Mus musculus: one gene and its partners. The protein of the gene in region 1 purifies or fractionates together with the protein of each later gene. This does not show direct contact. Links are inferred from orthologs where the notes say so. Each region holds a gene or a part of one and is shown in the gene's direction. Other genes may lie near its edges. The genes, in order: Prmt8, Ewsr1 and Hnrnpu.

The links.
Region 2: the proteins of Prmt8 (region 1) and Ewsr1 purify together in Homo sapiens (affinity purification with mass spectrometry; 3 studies listed by BioGRID and IntAct, counting the BioPlex papers as one, with this or other methods). This does not show direct contact. The link is inferred for Mus musculus from reciprocal best matches to the Homo sapiens genes PRMT8 and EWSR1.
Region 3: the proteins of Prmt8 (region 1) and Hnrnpu purify together in Homo sapiens (affinity purification with mass spectrometry; 3 studies listed by BioGRID and IntAct, counting the BioPlex papers as one, with this or other methods). This does not show direct contact. The link is inferred for Mus musculus from reciprocal best matches to the Homo sapiens genes PRMT8 and HNRNPU.

The regions. Positions count from the first base shown.
Region 1 is NC_000072.6:127,765,435-127,771,792, reverse strand, and holds the start of Prmt8 (protein arginine N-methyltransferase 8), read left to right. Parts: upstream 1-2,633; 5' UTR 2,634-3,045; coding exon 3,046-3,120; intron 3,121-6,358. UniProt on the Homo sapiens protein: S-adenosyl-L-methionine-dependent and membrane-associated arginine methyltransferase that can both catalyze the formation of omega-N monomethylarginine (MMA) and asymmetrical dimethylarginine (aDMA) in proteins such as NIFK, myelin basic protein, histone H4, H2A and H2A/H2B dimer.
Region 2 is NC_000077.6:5,095,828-5,102,195, reverse strand, and holds the start of Ewsr1 (RNA-binding protein EWS), read left to right. Parts: upstream 1-3,099; 5' UTR 3,100-3,174; coding exon 3,175-3,187; intron 3,188-3,390; exon of another isoform or gene 3,391-3,914; intron 3,915-6,368. UniProt on the Homo sapiens protein: Binds to ssRNA containing the consensus sequence 5'-AGGUAA-3'. Might normally function as a transcriptional repressor. EWS-fusion-proteins (EFPS) may play a role in the tumorigenic process.
Region 3 is NC_000067.6:178,326,805-178,333,072, reverse strand, and holds part of Hnrnpu (heterogeneous nuclear ribonucleoprotein U), read left to right. Parts: coding exon 1-76; intron 77-716; coding exon 717-980; intron 981-1,118; coding exon 1,119-1,238; intron 1,239-1,595; coding exon 1,596-1,724; intron 1,725-1,811; coding exon 1,812-1,980; intron 1,981-2,226; coding exon 2,227-2,481; intron 2,482-2,726; coding exon 2,727-2,908; intron 2,909-3,133; coding exon 3,134-3,205; intron 3,206-3,665; coding exon 3,666-3,719; 3' UTR 3,720-6,268. UniProt on the Homo sapiens protein: DNA- and RNA-binding protein involved in several cellular processes such as nuclear chromatin organization, telomere-length regulation, transcription, mRNA alternative splicing and stability, Xist-mediated transcriptional silencing and mitotic cell progression.

The DNA.
Region 1 (6,358 bases):
CTCCAACAGCCTTCCATTCTGCCCTTCACAGTCACGGTGATGAAAGATTGAGAACTTGTCACAGTCTGATGTGTTCTGTCGCCTTGTTAAGCCCAGTTCCTGCTATGAACGAAGCACTAAAAGATGCCCAGTGAGGATCATGTGGATTAATTGAGATAATTAATTAAGCTAACTTGATAAGAGAATATTCTGATACTCATGCAAAAGAGACAGAAAAGGGCTGGCTTCTAATAGTCCTACTGTGTGTTTTTCATACATCATGGATTTTTCACAATCCCGGGAGGTGAGTCTTCAGGTAATTCTTGTATGTTTGTATGGGCATACATGTGTGTGTGTGTGTGTGTGTGCGCGCGCGTGCGCGCACGTGCACATGGAGGCCTGAGCCTCTACATTTTTACCTGCAACATTCAAGAGTAACACGGCTCCCCAAACTCTACCTTTCAATGATTTGTGAGTTTGTAATTAGGTGGGTGCACAGCAGGGACCAAATCTCAGATCCAAGAGTGTTCGAGGAGGGTCGGAGCATCACCTGTGATAGGTCACCATGCTTTCCTCAGGTCGCTGCAGAGCAACCTTAGTGGCCTAGATACCTCTGTGCCCCAGGCTGCCTTTGAGTTGGCATAGCAAACTCTTGCTGTAAAAACACAGCTCTCCATGTCCCTTTCCCATTCCAACAGGAGCTGTGTCTGTACTTGGGGAGAAGCCAAGCACAGTAAAAAGATTTCAACAGAGAACTGAGGAAACACCCCCACTGAGGTTCTCATAGCAACATAATCACGCACAACAGCAGCCTATTTCGGTGGGAGCCTGTTTCAGCTCCCCTCCTCCCCTGTTAGTCACAGAATGGATGAACAAGCAGAAGGAGTGTGGGGTGGGGACAGGGTTGGGTTGGAAGTCAAGAGGCTGGGGAGCTGGTTTACTGAAGCTCCTGCAGCTTGTCGAGGGACCTTAGACAATTGCCCCCTTCTCTTTCATCCGGAGTCCTTACCTGTAAGAGGACTGGACCAACGTGTGGGTGGGGAATCTTGCTATTCTAGTCTTATTTGATTGCATACGTACTAAGCCTCTTTTGATCCAGCATCTCAGAGCCTTATCTGAGAGAAGACGAGTAGGGGAAGAAAAGCAGGAGGTAAAAGTCATTTTTTAGATGCAGTTATGTCCCCTCCTCCATACTGTGTGTGGCAGGATGGCAGGATGGCAGGATGGGAGTGAAGAAGGATCAGGCATTGCCAAAGACTGCTCATTCATGCCCAACTCGAATTCAGGTCTGTGGTTTGAGAAGGTTGAGGGGAATTTACTCTTGTTTTGGGATTATCAGTGCGGTTAACCCAAGCTTCTTGCTATATTTTCTTTAATCCTTCTCATCTCCCTCCTCTTCCCGTTTTTTACTCCTCACCTCTGCTCACGGCCATGTCTCTTCTCTTTGCCTGAGGATCTTGGTCTGATAGAAGTATCTATCACCGTGAGCCGAGCTGGGTTTTGGCCCTTTTCCTCAATGAACCTGGGTTAGTTGAGGACAGTCACTCTTACACTTCTTGGCTATCAAAGGCTATGATCAGACTAAACAGGGCGATTGGTTTAAATAACTCAACTAAGGACTGAGATGAAGCGGGAAGAAAGCTCCTGGCACATCTGTGCGGTCCCTGACCTTGACCTGTGGGCCAGAAAGCCTGAAGGTTCAGCTTTCCCGGAGATAGCCAGCTACAGAGTCCTGAGTATGGCCTCCCTCCCCCATTGTTCTATCCCTCAATGCCTGACAGATGGCCCGAAAGAGAGAAAAAAAGCTCTCAAAGTGAAGACAGGAATGCATTGTATAAAAATTCACACCCCCCGCTGCCGCCCAAACTCTCCCTTAAAAAAGGATCGAGAGAATCCTAATGGGTACGTGACATCCTCACGGCTCTCTCCCATAAAAGGGACGTCAGGAGAGGGTGAAGGTGGGGGAGGGGCTGTAGGGGAGGGGGAGAGATGTGTGTCCCCCCGGGAGTGGGGGCTGACAGGCTAGACAGGGGTAGGGGAGCTAGACCGCGGACCCTTTTATTGATTTGTTCCTGGTTGTTTTCCCAAGCCACCTCAGGCAGCCACCTTCACTTCAACCCGGTCCTCCTGAGAGGGGTTTGAAGGCCTTCTGGTCTTGGGTCCTGAGGGTGAAGAAAAGCTAGATAGAGAGGACCTAGAGTTGAAGGAGTTGAGGACTTCCCCCTCCCATCCAGACACCCACCCTGTTCATGCCCCAAACAGTAATCCGCGCAGGAAGGATCCAGGAATCGACCGGGTGGGGGGGCTGGGGAGGGGTGAGGGGCGTAGACATTTGGTAACCGTGGCTGAGTCTTGTCCGGTGCTTGCCCTCGTTAGAAGGACTTGCACTGGGCTGAGACCCTCCAGCAGCCTCGTGGACGCCTGCTTCCCGGAGCCTGGCGCGCGGCCCCGCAGCGTGCGCGCAGCCCTAGCCCCCGCGCCAGGTGTGCGCCGCGCCAGGAGCGCAGCGGAGCGCAGGCGGCCCCCAGACCCCGCGGTCCCGGGCACGGGGGCGGGCTGGGGGTCTCCGCCGTCAGCGCCCCGCCACCCGCTCGCTCCCGCGCACCTCCCACCCCGCCCCCACTCACCGGCTCAGCCCCCGGGAGCGCCGAGCAGGACGCGTGTTGCTTCGCCCAGCGATCGGCAGAAGTTGGGAGAGTTGCCGTCCGCCTCCCGCCTGCCGGACTTCGGAGCCGCTGCCTCTGCCGGCGAGCCCGCGGGGCCGCCTCCCTCCCTCCCGCCCAGCCCGCCGCGCAGGGGAGAGGGGCGCGGAGGGGGTCGTGAGCGCGACCAGAACTTGCAAGTGTGCGAAGGGATGCGAGGCAGATGAAGAGCGAGGAAACGTGAACAAAGTGGCGACCGCAGGAGGGACTCCACAGAGCTCGATTGTCGCGGAGGACGCTCCGGGAGAGGGGCTGGCTGGGATTTTTTCCCCCCTCCTCTTGCATTCTTAGGCTCTCTTTTAAAGCCACATCAGCCGTCTCTCGTTCTTTACTATCTCGAATCCCCAAACCCTTGTTGGCTCTTATGGGCATGAAACACTCCTCCCGCTGCCTGCTCCTCCGGAGGAAAATGGCGGAGAATGCAGTCGAAAGCACCGAGGTAAGGAGGCGACCGGGCCGGGGTTTTCAGCGACCCTGCCTCCCACTGGGACCCCTGTGTGCCGCCGCTGCTTGCTGCCACCACCAACGCCGTGGTGCCAAACTTTCCCCATCCCGCTTGTCCCTGCCGAGAGAGAGAGAGAGAGAGAGAGAGAGAGAGAGAGAGAGAGAGAGAGAGAGAGAAGTGTAGGAGTGTGTGTGGGGGGCGACGGTGCACGTCTCAGTTCCTTTCCCCCTTGAAAATCTAAATTTTCAGCCCCATCACCCTCTCCTGCCACCCTCTGCTCCCTTCCTGTTCCCCTAAGTCCCAAACCTTGGGCAGCCCGGCTCCCCTGCCCCTGTGCACAGGATTCCGATAGTGATCCCGGATCCCGGCTTTACGAAGAGCTGGAGTGGGTTATATTAGGGCCAGGTTTGCTCCCTGCAGTGCACCGATTATCTCCCACCGCTACCTGGGCTTTACCCTTCAAGCTCGAGGTGGTCCCCAAGCTATGGGTCCCTGCAACACCGCGGAGAGCTCCCGGCCTTAGGGGGCCGACCTGGTGGCAGTACTAAGCACCTGCACCTGACCTCCCCCGCAGTCCCCAGTCCACAGCTGGGCCGGAGGTCTGCAGTCCTAGGGTGCTTAAGGCGCCGAGGGAGAGCGGAACCCTGGGAGGGCGCACCGACCGCGGCCCCATTCAGCACCAGGGACAGCGCCCGCGCCTGCCGCAGCTTAGCCCGCACAAGCAGCGGGGGTTGTGCGCCCTGGGCTGCAGCGCGAAACCGGTCTGCGGCCACTTGTCCCGCAGCAGCTTTTAAGGAGGCCGCTCTAGCTCCGCAAATGATACTCTTGCCCTCCGTCTTCGGCAGTCCTTACGGCCGCCCCGTATCTGCCCTTTCTCTACTCCGGAGTTGGCCTTGAGCTGCAGAGAGCCCAGCGGGTCTTTGCGTCCCGAGCAAGTGTGTTCTTTCGCCTCGCTCTGACCCAGCTGTCATCACAATGGGATTTTTCCCTGGTTTTGGGCACCTGTAGTCATGGAGGGGATCGGCATGGGCAGCCCCCTTACCTTCACAGAGGAACTGTGCGCCGAGGTGGGGGTGGAGTGGGGCGTGTGTGTGATCATCCCTTATTCGGTGGCAGGAAAAAGACACAGAGCAAACTCCGGGGCTCTATTAATAGCCCAGTGTCTGGTGGGGCTGCCGTACATTTCACATACGGTAACCCATATGCAGCGTGGGGCTGAGATGGGGGTGTGGCGCGGAGACTGTCCAGGCCTTGCGGGAAAGCAAAAACAACGTGAAGACCTTTCCCGGCCTTCTTTCCTAGAGGTCACAACTCATTCCCCGCCTCACGGTATAGGCAGCAAAGCTTAAGAATACCCATTCCTTGGACACTAGAGGCAGCATGCTTCTGGCAACTGTCGATTTTGAAACAAACACGATCTGGGGCTGGAAGATGAGGGGCATACAGCAGTTAATGTCTTCTCCTTGAGTTAGGGCAAAGCCATTCTGCATGTCGTTCCTTGGACCATCCTCTTCCCCACCCCAACCTGGGAGCAGAGTCTTTGAAACCGAGTAATAGCACCAGACGCTCAGCATTCCCCTCCCCCTCCGCCCTCTGATCGCCCACCCGCGGAACAGGTTTCTAAAAATAGCTTGGAGTCTCAAGGCCGCGCACTGGTGAAGTGTTGGGCCAGCCAGCTTGTAGCAGTCCCTGCAACCCAGTAGCTATAGCTCTTCCCTGCTTTTTCCCTATCCCACCTCATCTTCACTTGTCTTAAAAAAAAATAGAAAATAAAAATAAAAAAAGTTTTCGTGGGTCCTCGTCCACAATCACCCGGACTGGCGTGTGGGGTCTAGTGCAGACCCGGGCCACGTTCCGCAGTGTGCAGTGGCGGCTGCGGCTCTCTCCACCTCGGTGAGGGTTAAAGGCGTCCGGAGCAGGCAGAGCGACGCGCGACAGGCTATTTTTACTCGCTTCCCCCGCTGCTCTGAGCTCCCCCTTCTCAGCAGTCGCACATGCCAGCTCTGCTCAAGGCATCAATGAAAACAGCAGTAGAAGCGGTGGTGGCAGGGGCGGAGGGGGGGGGGGAGGACGACGGAGTGGGGAGGGAGGGAGGGAGGAAGAGAGAGAGAGAGAGAGAGAGAGAGAGAGAGAGAGAGAGAGAGAGAGAGAGAGAGAGAGAACCCAGCTGGTCTTAGACCCCTTAGATGACAATGAATCAAAGCGGAACATGGGAAGGTTCAGCTCTCAGCAACTTCCTTGGAGAAAGGATGCAACCCAGACTTGGTCAAACGTGCCCAGTGAGGCATACAGGCCTCGTGACTACTGCTTGGTTTTCCTCCAGGAACGGGCAGGCTGTTTTTGGAATAAGCTAAGAGCAAAGTGGTGCTTCCAAAGTGGGGTATTGAGGGGGTTGCATTGCCTGCACATCTTAGGGGTACCAAGAGCACACTTGTGGATGTGTGGAGTGTGTGGGCGGGGGGGGGGAGGGGCGGGAATGACAACGGTTGCTGTCCAGTCTCTAGCAGGTACTCACTCTGTACCCGGAAAAGTAGGTTTCTAAGACCCTAGTGGCCTGGCTTTTGCCCTCAAAGAGCTCACAAATTAGTGAACACAGTTGTGACTGGAGAGCCCGGTTACATCTTTCCCTGCGTCTTGCAGGTGGTAGCATACTACTTGTGTTCTGTGCTCATACTAAGGCTATGAGAGAAGCGAAGGTTAGTATTTGTTTCCCATTTTCTTGGAGACCACAGAGTAGCCTGAGGTCAGGCAGTGACTCCGGCCAGCTGGCGGGTTAAATCGGGCTTGGGGTATGGATTGCCCTCACTTTCAATCCATTGCTCTTTGCTCCACTCTTGCTATTTCTAGCAAGATGCCATGTGTGAATGGGAGTGCATGCGAGTGGGAGGAGACGATTGCTTTGGAAGGGAAAGGCAGTGGGGAGGGAAGGTGGGGAGGGGAGGCAGAGAGGATGGCAGTTATCAGGCAGGGGAGGGAGGTGGTGGTGCTGCTGGTGGTGGTGGTGGTAGCAGTGGTGGTAGTGGTGGTGGTGAGGCATGTAGTATTGAGACTGAGGCTGTGACTCTATATACTGTGACCACCATCTTCAGACCTGGAACAAGGTGAGATACTAGGGCATGGAGCCTCCTGTGTGAGGCGTTGTGGCTTGAGTACACCTTCCACCCCTTTGATTTTGGTCTCTTAAACTTGTTCATGAGCTGATTCAGTTTGTGGCCAATAATCTGTGTATGGT
Region 2 (6,368 bases), on another chromosome or scaffold:
AAGAGCAGTCAGTGCTCTTAACCGCTGAGTCATCTCTCCAGCCCCCCAGTGACCCCATTTTACAGAGGGGGAATTGAACCTGCAGAGGCAGGTCCAATAGGTTGGCTGAAGTGGGCTCAAGTCCCAACCCCTGTTCTTATTAGCCACCTTCCTATCCTACCTGCCCACGTGTCTGGGATGGGACCAGCTCGGCCGTGCACAGCTGTGATGCTAGCTAGCACTCAGGAGTGGAGACATGGAGGACTGGAGTACAAGGTCATTAGAGATGCAGACAGTGGGAGCGTACTCACCTAGCCATGCACAGGCACCTGGATTTGCTTCCCAGTGCTGGACAAAGAATAAAAGAAAAAGTTAGGAGTTCTTGGCTACATGTTGAGTTAAAAAACTAGCCTGGGTGATATGAGACCCAGTTTCAAAAACAAAACCGAGTCTGGTGGGCCTTAAGTCTTAGTGGAAGATACAGGACCAGACAAGTTAAACTGGGGCCATTCACTGCCAAAAAGATGGGTAATTCCCCTGGGAACGGCTAAGTCAAGGCCAGCTCAGGCTTCCCACTTCCTGCCTCCTTTCCAGTGTTCCCAGCCTTAGGGAGTCCTGATGGCCTCAGGTGCCCCTTTGAACAGGGGGTGGGGGTGAGGGGCGAGGACAGCTAATGGTACAAGCAGTGTAAGGCTGAAAGTGGGCTACAAGAGTCCGCATTCCAAGCTTTACAAGGTGATTACAACCGTGGCACTATTTCCTCCCCAACCCTGACCCTAGCCTCATTTTGCCAAGGATACTCCAGTGTGTGCTGCAGCTTTCTGCTGTGCGTCCCTGGGCAAGCGTCCTAATCTGTGAACTGCGGATTCTGATACATTTCCCTTACAGATGGTAAGAAAAAGGATAGAGTGGAGGCCCACAACTTTCTCTTTTTTAAAGCTTTTTTTGGTGTTGCTTTAAACAAATCTCATCAGGTAACCCTATCCACAGCCTGGGATAGAAGATTGTCCTGACTAGGTGTTAAGTGCTGGGTCACAAATCTGCACCATTGCACCTGGTTCAGGCTCCAGCTCTTCCTCAAACCAACCCAAAGCACCACCTGGAGAGATGACTCATGGGAGGCACATAGCTTACAAGTAAAGGCGCAGCAGCTGCTACAAACTCTGACCCCATGGTCGTTCCCTGCCCACCGAGCATAGCTTCTCTCCTGTACTCTCCTCTCACACTGCCTTTCCTCCAGGCCCTCCCACCATTCCTGGGCAGTCCTCTGAGTCTCCTACTGAGCTGATTCAGGGCAGAAAGCGATTCGACTTAGCTTCCTTGTCAAGGCTTTCCCTTGCAGATGCCAAATATGAAAATCTCCTCTGCCTGGCCTTGCCTCCATCCCTCAATAGGCCATCTCCTACTCACTCTGAATTGTCAATGTTCCCTTCCCATATTGTGAATTTTATCCTAATGAGCAAAGTTTGGCTCCCCCCCCCCCCCACTCAAATGGCTTGTCTCCAGACTCAAGGCTGGTGTTCATTGGAAGACATATTAGCATAGTCCCAGGTCCTGCTGGGGTGAACTCCACCCTTTATTTTTGGTACTGGGTTGAAGTTCAGAAAAGCAGGCAGATTTCACCCTTACCTGGAGGCAGGGTCACCTAAAATGAAGCTTCCTCTTGCACCTTCTTACAACCATTCCATCCCTGGGCACTAGGGGACAGGTCCATGGACATAGGGAACTGGGCCTCGAGTCCTCTGGACCAGTCTCTTCTCTTTCTTGGCGATAGGAATGGAAACTAGGGCCTCATACATCATAGGCAAGCCGTAACACTCCTGCAACCATATCTTCAATTAATAAAACGTAACTTGTAAGAATCCAATAATGAATCCAGCTGCTCCTCCTAGAACACAATACACGCCTTTCTCCCCTTCAGATTCCGACCGGCCTCTAGTGAGACACTATGAGTGGCGAACTAACAGACTCGGACGCCTGGATCTCTCACCTGAAGGTGATTTTACATAAAATGGGGAACTGGGGGGCTACACATCGGGCTCCCAGCTCCCTTCCCTGCCTGCCCCGGGCCAGAAGCTCCGGCATTGAAGCCACGCCCATCCTCAGAAGGGTGCGACACGCCTACTTCTCCCACATGGACCCTGGTTTCTTCCGAGTCCTCGCCCGCCATGCTAATGTTTGTCTGTGTCTGTCCACTGTGTCAGTAACTCTCAGAAAAGCAAAACCAAAAACCCCACCAATCGCCAACAATCCGCCTCAGTGTCTTTCTGGAGCCCTTGTCAGAGACCTCAGAGCTATGCATATCACACCCTGCCTACCTTGCAGGGAAGCCAGGAGGACAGAGTGGGAAGGCAAGGACAGTGTGGCGAAGCTTCCGGGCGGTGTACAGAGAGGGGAGGCCCGGGGTCTGGGTCGCATTCAGCTTTGTAACTTTAAGGAAAGAACTCAATTTCGTGGGTTCTGGGTTTTCTGTTGAAACAAGGGGATGGGTTGAAGGACGATCACAGGGCTTCTCAACCCCGACCGTTACTGGGGTCGGGCGCGGCATTCCCGGCCTCCCTCCCAAGCCGACGGCCCTCGGTCCCCTCCCCCGCCCGCTCAGGCCACGCGTCCAGGGGCCTGGGGAGCATGTCCTCCCACCCCCACCCACCCTAGAAAACCGAGCAGGGGGGCCCGCCCGGTAAGTCCGGCCGCCGGTTCCAGGCCGAGCCCTCGGTGCCCGAAACCCGCTGCACGCACACAGAGGCGCGTGATCCCGCCCGCCGATTAGTCAGCAGTTGTTTCAGGCCGGCCGGGATCCCTTCCCCCAGCCCTCCCGCCAGCCTCCGTCTCCCTCCAGGGCAGACTCTTCAGAGACGGTCCCTAGAGCCAGCGGGCGTAACCATTCCGAGCCACCGCGCCTCGCGCCAAGGAGCTCTCGGGTTCGTGGGTAACCCTCGCTCACTGGCGCGCTGGCCCCCGAGGCGCCTTTTTTTTTTAGACCACTCGTCACGTCCGGCTCTTTGGGAGAGGATCGGGTCAACGGTTTCGGGAGCGAAGAGCCGAAGAGCTCCGGTTCGCTCCTCTTCGGCCACCCCCGAGGCCTGGCCCGATGGTAGCGTCCGAGGTTGCGGGTTTCGCGCCTGCGCAGTGCGGCGCCTAGGGGGAACGCGAGAAGGAGACGGACGTTGAGAGAACGAGGAGGAAGGCGAGAAAATGGCGTCCACGGGTAAGCGGAGTGGGATCGCGGTCCCGCCGGCGACAGCTGGGACACCCAGACTGGGAGGCGCTCGTCTCTGGGGGTGGCAGGGATGACTGAGTGAAGTCGCCGAAAGGGGTTGGAGTTCCCGCCGCGGCCCGACGAGCTCGGGGGTGGGGGTGGGGGATCCGCGTTCCCTTCCCCTCCCCCACTAGGCGGGCTGGTTCTGGAACCTTTTGGCGGCCGCGTTGCGCGCGAGGGCCTCGCGGTAGCTGAGGCGTGCAGAGCCCGTCCAGGCCTCCTTTGTGTGGTGGTTGTCGGGGCCGGGTGCTCCGGGTCTCTCGCCACGTGGGCCGGGCCTAGGGCCTCCGAGGGCCCGAAGGGGACCGCGGCTGGGCCTGGAGCCCATCACCCCGAAGGCGCGTGAAGCGAGGTGTCTGATGGCGGCTCGAGAAGCCGTGGCCGGTTTCCCGTGGAACGTCTCCTCCCATCGCTAGCCCCAGGGCAAGTGTTTACTGTGTAGGGACTCAGAAAAACAAACAAAAAGCCGTCGCGAATGTGTAAGCTGAGGGGCGCCGGCTTAAGAGGGGAGCCCCATTATCCCCCAGGCCTGGCCCGGCCCGACCAAGCTGCCCCCTCGGAGGACCTAGTTGGTTCCCCTAAATCTTCGTGCTCCCCACTCAAGAGGCTTCGATTTAATCATGAGTTAACTCCACCTCCTTCCCTACCCAAAAAGCAGTGGCTTCCCAGTGTCCTTTTCTCAGCAACCGGCGCGGGGGATCGGTTGTATAACAAGGTCCGTCTGGATCCGGAGAGGAGACTCTTTTCCAGAAAGAGATTTCTAGCAGCTTTGATCCAGGAGAGGCAGAAAAGCCTCGGCACGCCACGTTTCTGTAGGCCTGCTCGTTAAGCTAGCCGGCTGATTTATTTCTTGGCCCTATTGAGGCCAGGGGAAGAGACCCATAGCGGATTTTGAAAGTCCAGGGCGGGAACTCTAGAATGTGATGGTTATGTTGTGGTCCTTACCGAGAGAATAAGTGTAGCCTAGCCCTCACCTGCAGTTTAGAATACAGTTAACTGGCACAGTGGCGGGTTTTTTGTTTGTTTTTGTTTTTGCTTCTAGCGGAATCTAGGGTCTGGTGATGTGGCCTTGGAGGCAGGAGGAGAAAACAAGTGGGGGTGACAGGAAAAGCTCTGGGTTCTTCATTTGGCTTAGGAAAGCTTCCAGCATCACAATTTGACGACGCAAACGATGTAGTTAGTAAACAGCTTGCTTTTGGTACCAGGCTACCCAAAGTGTCCCTAAGAGAAGACTGAGATACGACTACAGTCCAATATATCCTAGTGGAAAATGGTTTCTTTGGTGGTCCTTTTACCCTTCTCTTAACCTCTAAAGCCCAAGAAGGCAATTGCAGTTTTTCTGCTTGATAGATCATTGCCACTTTTTAGTCATCTTTGTTATCAGAAAATGTTGATAGCACCCTGAACCAAATTTAAGTTGAAAAGTGTGCTCTGCTATACCCACAGTCCTGGCCCTGCTGAGGGGACTTTATTAAGGGCTTTCCTGAAAAACTTAGTTTTAGACTTTTTTTAAAGGGTCGGTGGCGATGCACCGGTGCTGGGAAGGCAGAGGTAGGTGGTCTCTGAGTTTGAGGACAGCCAGGGCTACACAGAGAAATCCTGTCCTAGAAAAAAAATTTTTTTTCTTGAGCCTTTCAGTTCTTAAAATAACTTTTTTTTTTGGTCCCAACAAACTTACCCTTGCTAGCTACAGGAATTATGTAGCCTAAACCTTCCTATTCAGCTTGGCTAATGGCTGCCCTGAAGCAAGCCACTGCCTAAGGGGAGTAATGGTTTCCCTCCTCTGTATCTTGTAGAACAGTAACTATAGAGTGTGTCCAGTAAAGCAGAATTACAGTCTCTAAATAACTACCAGAACAAAAAGTAAAACATTAGCATTCTAGGATGCCCCTACATCATAATCTCTCAGCCTGCTCTGTGTGTGTGTGTGTGTGTGTGTGTGTGTGTGTGTGTGAAGTGTTTACGTATCCGGGCATTTAAAGACTTATTTTTTCAATTGTTAAATTATCTGACCATTGCTTCAGTGTCATGCTTGTAGGTAGATAAACATGGGGGGGGGGTCGCTTTTTCCTTAGCCTACCAAATCCTTTGGCAGCACCCTCGTCTCAAGTGGTTGGCTGTTCTGTATCAGCATTGCCAATTTTACATAACTGCTCTTGTGTAAGTCTTTGTAAACATCAAACTTAATGCCAATGACTCAAAAAGTCGTTTTTACACAGAAACCTCAACAAAATGTAGGTTGCAGTATTTGCTTTGTTGTTTGTTTTTCATATAAAGAATGTGGCAAGTAGCCAGTCATCATCTAATCCTAGATTGGGGAGCGCAGCGTTTGAGGCCAGCTAAAGCTACATAGTGAGACCCTGTCTATAAATAAATAAATAAACAAACAAATAAACGGCAGAAAGGTAGACAAAGGAAGGTAGCAAGTAGGCATGGAGGTACACACCTATAATTTCAACACTAGTTGTAGACAGCCATACGGGGTCTGTAGCAAGTTTGAGGCTAGCCTGGTCTATATAACTAATTAAGGTCAGCCAGCTAAGTAGTTAGATCCTATCTCAGAACCACTACTTCACCACCACAGAAAATGTAGCTTTATTGGAAATGCTTCAGAATTTTGTTAGAGGATTATTTTCTTCATTGTAGATATCTTTTGAACAGTTTACTGATACTATTGGTAATCAGAGCTCTGAATTTAAAAGTGTAGAAGGAAAGTAGTCCCATGAGGTGCAGAAAGGTTGAAAGAGTCGATTTTAAGAGGTGAGTTCAGGCCAGGTGGTGTTGGTGCAGGCCTTTAGTCCCAACACTTGTGGGGCAAAGGCGGGTGTTTCAAAGCCATCCCGATCTACAGAGTGAGTTCCAGGACAGCCAGGGCTGCACCCCGTCTCAGAAAAAGCCAAAGGGGGGGCAGAATGAGTTCAGGAAAGTACTGTTGGCTAGGGGATTGTGAAGCAGACTTTGCATGGCGTATGCCAGAGCCTTCCATGAAGAAAGATGTCAGCTGTTACATTTGGGTGAGGGACTACTTTCTGATTGGAAAAGAAAGGACCCTTTTGTTCTGTCTTAATGACAGTGCTGTCTTTGAACACCAAACAAGATACGTATTCTTGTGGAGAGGAAATAATTGCGT
Region 3 (6,268 bases), on another chromosome or scaffold:
AATAAAAACATGCAACTGTGAGACAGAAGATTATGGGGAGAAGTTTGATGAAAATGATGTGATTACATGCTTTGCTGTAAGTTACCTGTAAATGTCGTTAGCTATGTGTGTAAAAGATTCTTACCAGTGTGGTTAAATGTATGCTGCTGGCTCTAAGTTACAACAAGAGAGGCTTGGGACAGGCTCAGTGGTTGGGTTTGTGGTGTGTAAGGTGAGGGGACCTGAGTTTGGATATCTTTCACTAATGTAAAGGCTTGAGATTCATCTGGGAGGGAAGAAGCAGCAGCTTCAACTAGCTCCAGCTTTAGTGACAGGAAGTTGCCTAACATGGAACCTTGGACACACAAAAGCAGTTGAAACTGGGAAAATAGAAGACTGTTGTTTGAAGGATCATTAACACATTTTAAAAGGAAAAAAATTGGTCTGAAAATATGTATCTAAGGCCTGATTCTTGGGATTTGTTGTTTATAACCATTAGTTCTTAGCATTAACCTAAACATGGTAACATGTGTGTCTTGGTGAGTTGAGAGACCTTACAGGGAGTTTAAAACTGATCTTTTTTAGAGCTGAAGCGATGGCTCAGCAGTTAAGATTATTGACTGTTCTTCCAGAGGTCCTGAGTACAAATCTCAGCAACTATGTAATGCCTCAAAACTATCTATAATGGGATCTGTTGCTTTCTTCTGATCTGATTTTTTAAAAATTCTATTCAACAGAACTTTGAAACTGATGAAGTTGAACTCTCTTATGCGAAGAATGGACAAGATCTTGGTGTTGCCTTTAAGATCAGTAAGGAAGTTCTTGCTGACCGGCCACTATTCCCACATGTTCTCTGCCATAACTGTGCAGTTGAATTTAATTTCGGTCAAAAGGAAAAGCCATACTTTCCAATACCTGAAGACTGTACTTTTATCCAAAATGTCCCCTTAGAGGACCGAGTTAGAGGACCAAAAGGACCTGAAGAGAAGAAGGATTGTGAGGTAAGTTTTATTGTGTGATGGTGTGGATTGTGTTGCAGTTGACATTAGGAGAAGGGTAAAAAATGAGTGGGTTATAGATTTGTTACTATTTACTGCTGAGAGACAAAGTCGTGATGGCGCTTCTTTTTCTCACTGTAGGTTGTAATGATGATTGGCTTGCCAGGAGCTGGAAAAACTACCTGGGTTACTAAACATGCAGCTGAAAACCCTGGGAAATACAACATTCTTGGAACAAATACGATTATGGACAAGATGATGGTAAGTAACAATTGAAATGAAAGTGTTGAGAAGGCGTGGGGAGTAGAGCAAAGGGCGAGCAAAACACTATACCCTGGCTTTAGTCTTCAGCACTATGACAAATAAACAGGGTCAGAAATTATCCTGGGTTAATGTTGGCTTGTGTTTTCATTTATTTTAATATCTTAGAGGAAATGATTTTTGCTAAAACAAATTGGGAGTACTTTTTATATCTTCCAGTGACTGCTTTTTCATAAGTCATTAACAGCAGTACCAAAAACTATGTATTTTTTGGTTACTATTGAAAGGATACAACTGAGTATTTATAAAATGATGCCTGGTTCCTGTAGTTCTAAGCTTTTTACAATATTTTGTTAGGTGGCAGGTTTTAAGAAGCAAATGGCAGATACTGGAAAACTGAACACACTGTTGCAGAGAGCCCCACAGTGTCTTGGCAAGTTTATTGAAATTGCTGCCCGTAAGAAGCGAAATTTTATTCTGGATCAGGTAAGTAGTAGCTTTGAAGTTAAAGAGAGAAATCAACTGATAATTGGTAAGGTGTAACATTAACGTCTTTAACATTTTCCCCTCAAGACAAATGTGTCTGCTGCTGCCCAGAGAAGAAAAATGTGCCTGTTTGCAGGCTTCCAGCGGAAAGCTGTTGTAGTGTGCCCAAAAGATGAAGACTATAAGCAGAGGACACAGAAGAAGGCAGAAGTAGAGGGGAAGGACCTACCAGAACATGCTGTCCTCAAGATGAAAGGCAAGGAATTCACTTTATTTTTACTGTCTTAAGTACGGTTTGGGGATTTATACCTAGAAAATATCTTCACACTTAGAGATTATATTAATCTGCTAAATAGAAACTTGTATGGTTATTATACAAAGAATGTGATGAAGGCCGTGACCAGATAACTGAAAGTTGAAAGAATTAAACACATTCAGAGATAAAGTTTATAGAATTTACATGTTCATAATTGATTTATAAGTTTGACTTGATTCCCTGTAGGAAACTTCACCCTTCCAGAGGTTGCAGAATGCTTTGATGAAATAACCTATGTTGAACTTCAGAAAGAGGAAGCCCAAAAGCTTTTGGAGCAATATAAAGAAGAAAGCAAAAAGGCACTGCCACCAGAAAAGAAGCAAAACACTGGCTCAAAGAAAAGCAATAAGAATAAGAGTGGCAAGAACCAGTTCAACAGAGGTGGTGGCCATAGAGGCCGTGGAGGATTCAATATGCGAGGTGGCAATTTCAGAGGAGGAGGCAAGTTAATTTTGCCTGTTGGTATTTGGAATTTGAAAATGAATGAGTTTATTTTTTAAGTTAAATAGGAAGTTAGTTTCTTTGATAATTTGCTGCCATGTTTGACTAATACACAATGAGGGGAGTGTATTGGGTATACTTAAAACTGGGCATTGCTTACTTTTTCATTAATGATAAGAGATAACTGTATGAACTCTTCCTTAAATGTGTGACAGCTAAACTAAACCCTTTGTGCATTTATTTAGCTCCTGGGAATCGTGGTGGATATAATAGGAGAGGCAACATGCCACAGAGAGGTGGTGGCGGTGGAAGTGGTGGAATTGGCTATCCATACCCACGTGGCCCTGTTTTTCCTGGCCGAGGTGGTTACTCAAACAGAGGGAATTACAACAGAGGTGGAATGCCCAACAGAGGGAACTATAACCAGGTATTGATTTGCCCTGAAATGTTGTAGATGAATGGATGTTGGGAGTCTTAACTGGCGGCGTTGACATAGTTGTGAAACAATTTAGTTATTGGACTTTGCTTTTTCAGGTCATTAATAACAGCAGTGAGCTTGGGGAATAAGGGTTTCTGCTTACCCCTCCCTAAAAAATAGCCAACCATTGCTTGAGAGCTCTTAACAGATTTTTTTTTTTTTAAACTTTCATAGAACTTCAGAGGACGAGGAAATAATCGTGGCTACAAAAATCAATCTCAGGGCTACAATCAGTGGCAGCAGGGTGTAAGTAGTTTCTTAAATGCTTACATAAATTATGTGTTATGTTTACAAGATTGAGACGGAAGTTCTTACCTAGGAATTGAAGAGTTTTATACTTTAATAGGACAAGGTGTCTATAAATTGTTACTGTGTTATTGTTACTGTAACCATGGATAGGCTGGATTTTAACATTACTTTAGATAAAGTAATATTTAATACATATGGTTGTTTTACTACATGGTCATTTTTAATAGTTTTAATTACATAAACTAACCCTAAGTCTTGTGTTTCCTTTGGTAATGTGTATTGGTAAATAATATGGGTAATTGGTAAATTAAAATTAAGTCTCTGATCTGATGTAGAAATTAAGTGTGATAAATTTGTTTCCAGCAATTACTCTGAATTAGATCATTGTCATTTCCTAAAAACAATTTGAGTGGCTTATTGATGTTTTTTTCTTTAAAAACAAAATTTTCTCTTACAGCAATTCTGGGGTCAGAAGCCATGGAGTCAGCATTATCACCAAGGATATTATTGAATACCCAAATAAAACGAACTGATACATATTTCTCCAAAACCTTCACAAGAAGTCGACTGTTTTCTTTAGTAGGCTAACTTTTTAAACATTCCACAAGAGGAAGTGCCTGCGGGTTCCTTTTTTAGAAGCTTTGTGGGTTGATTTTTTTTTTTTTCTTTTCTTTTTTGTACATTTTTAATTGCAGTTTTAAAGTGAATCGTAAGAGAACCTCAGCATTGTGCACGATAAGAGAATGTGTCAGTATTTCAGGGTTCTACATTTTATCTGTAAAATGTGACTTTTTTTTTTATCACAACAAAAGTAAAATGTTGCTTTGTACCTGGTGTCTTTTATTAAGCATTTACTCCCCCATTTCTCACAGAGAATAACAGTCGGGAGTCATTGTCACAATAAAATAGCAATGTTAGCAGCCAGATTCATGGAAGGACTAAGGGGTCCTCATGAATTGCATTAAGATTCTGTACTGCTCATGATACACTCCATCCTCTCTAGACTGCCTGCCGGGTAATAGTGGACGGGTAATCTCTGACAAAACGGGAAGGCTATTTTTTTTCTGTTTGACAATGGAATTGGCATAATTGGGAATGAAGATAAAATTTGGAACCAAGATTGAGAAGATGGAGTGTATGTAGAAGGGCTGTTCAAAAATGTAAACTTGGTTGCATTATATGTGGAGGCTCAAACTTGTGAAGGTTAAATACCATAAAATTTTCCATTTGTTCTGCATTTTGATTCTGAAAAGAAAGCTGGCTTTGCCCATTTCTTATTAAAAAAACTTGTTGTAAATCCAGTTGTCTAATGGGATCTATATGAAGTTAGCTATGTCTGTATGCCCTTCTCCCACAAATACTGTATTACTAGTGTGCTTGTAGTAGTTAACTCCACCATCTTTGTAAGCTAATGAAATTGTGAGTCACCCATTTATATCTTAATTTTTAATCATGTCAGTTCTTGAATGGGTATCTCCTTAGCCTGCTGATTTCTTTTTCTTTCTAAAGAAAGTGGGTGGAGAAATTAATTTAGACGTTTGTTTGCAATAAAAAGAATTCATTTTACTCTTGTTTGGGATTCTCGCCATCAAGGTCTAAATCCCTTTATAGTATGACTCCCAAGAGGAGAAACTTTAAGTGTGTGCTTTCTGGACAGCTTATTCTTTACTCTGTACTTCGGAACATTTAGGTTTTAAAAACTTAAATGTATACTGATGATTGATTTTATAATATAAAGTTGAATTCTTCCCTTCCCCTCCCCCCAAGACTGCTTTTAACATTTATGAGGGGCAAAGGTACTGGCTGGGAGAAGTTAATGTTCAGTTGACCATGTTTATGAAATGTGAGTGGCTGTCCTCACCTGATAATAGACATATAATACATGAAACTTTGGGAACAGATGCTTTTAGAAGCCATCATGCAAGCCAGTCATTGATTTCACTACTACACAATGCTGCTAACTTAACTAGCTATGTGATAAATTAGATCCCCTAATTGTAATTTTATTGGGTTTGCACAGAACACTTAAATCTTGTAAAGGAGCCTCACTGTGTGAAGTGAGGAATCAGGAGTCAAACTGTAGAACTAAAATTAGAATTTAGTCTAGTTGTTAGTGTTTATAGCCTGCTTCTGGTAAGTTCAGGTTTTCCTGTATTATTAATTGCTGTAGAACTTTGTTTTAAATCAGATTTTTTTTTTAATACTTTATTATACTCTAGGAATTACTACAGGCTAGTTTCTGCAATCAGGTTGCCTCAGAAATAACACTACAAAGTAGTATCTTCTCGGCTTAGTTAACTGCTATAAACCATTGGTATGAGTATCTGCCCTACATACGTAACATTATGATTATATATTCCTAACTCTGGGAGTAATTCAGTTCAGTGGTTATCCTAATATTTTAATCTGTGCCTTTCAAAAATCTTGTATAGACCTAGTACTAGAGACGCATGGCTACAAAAAAGGGTCAAATGACAAAGTAGAACATGATACATGCATTGCCTGAAAAATTGGATGGGAGGGAAAGCTTGCTATCTGAAGTGATCTCACTAGTTACATCTGTACATGAAAGTTTTCTTTAATGGAAAAGAGGCAATCCATTCAGAGGGGGAAAAATGGCTTAAGTTTTTGAAAGAATCCCAAATATTGATAGGATCAGAATTGACTTGATAATCAAGCTGGGCATGACAACACAGGGGCTTTTAAAAAAGATACAAGCTGGAGGGCAGCCTGGGCTATATTCTATATTGTGAGGTGTTCTCTCTGTAATTAAGTACCAGCAGAGCCAAAAGCTGGGGAAGGTGGCTGCCATTGTAGATCAGTGGTAGAGCACTTATTATCAGCACCTAAGAGGTAATAAATTAGTTAACTTTGTTACTGAGAAAATGGTGTAGATTAATAGTAGCAAAGAGGCGTTCTCACTAATGTCTATAGACTATTTTAATGGCAAATATTTTAATCACATTTCAATGGCATTTTAGGTAGTATGCACTTGGGTGTGAAAGACTAGTTCTGTGTACATCAATGTGAATATAATTGATTTTTTTAAAATGTAGAATA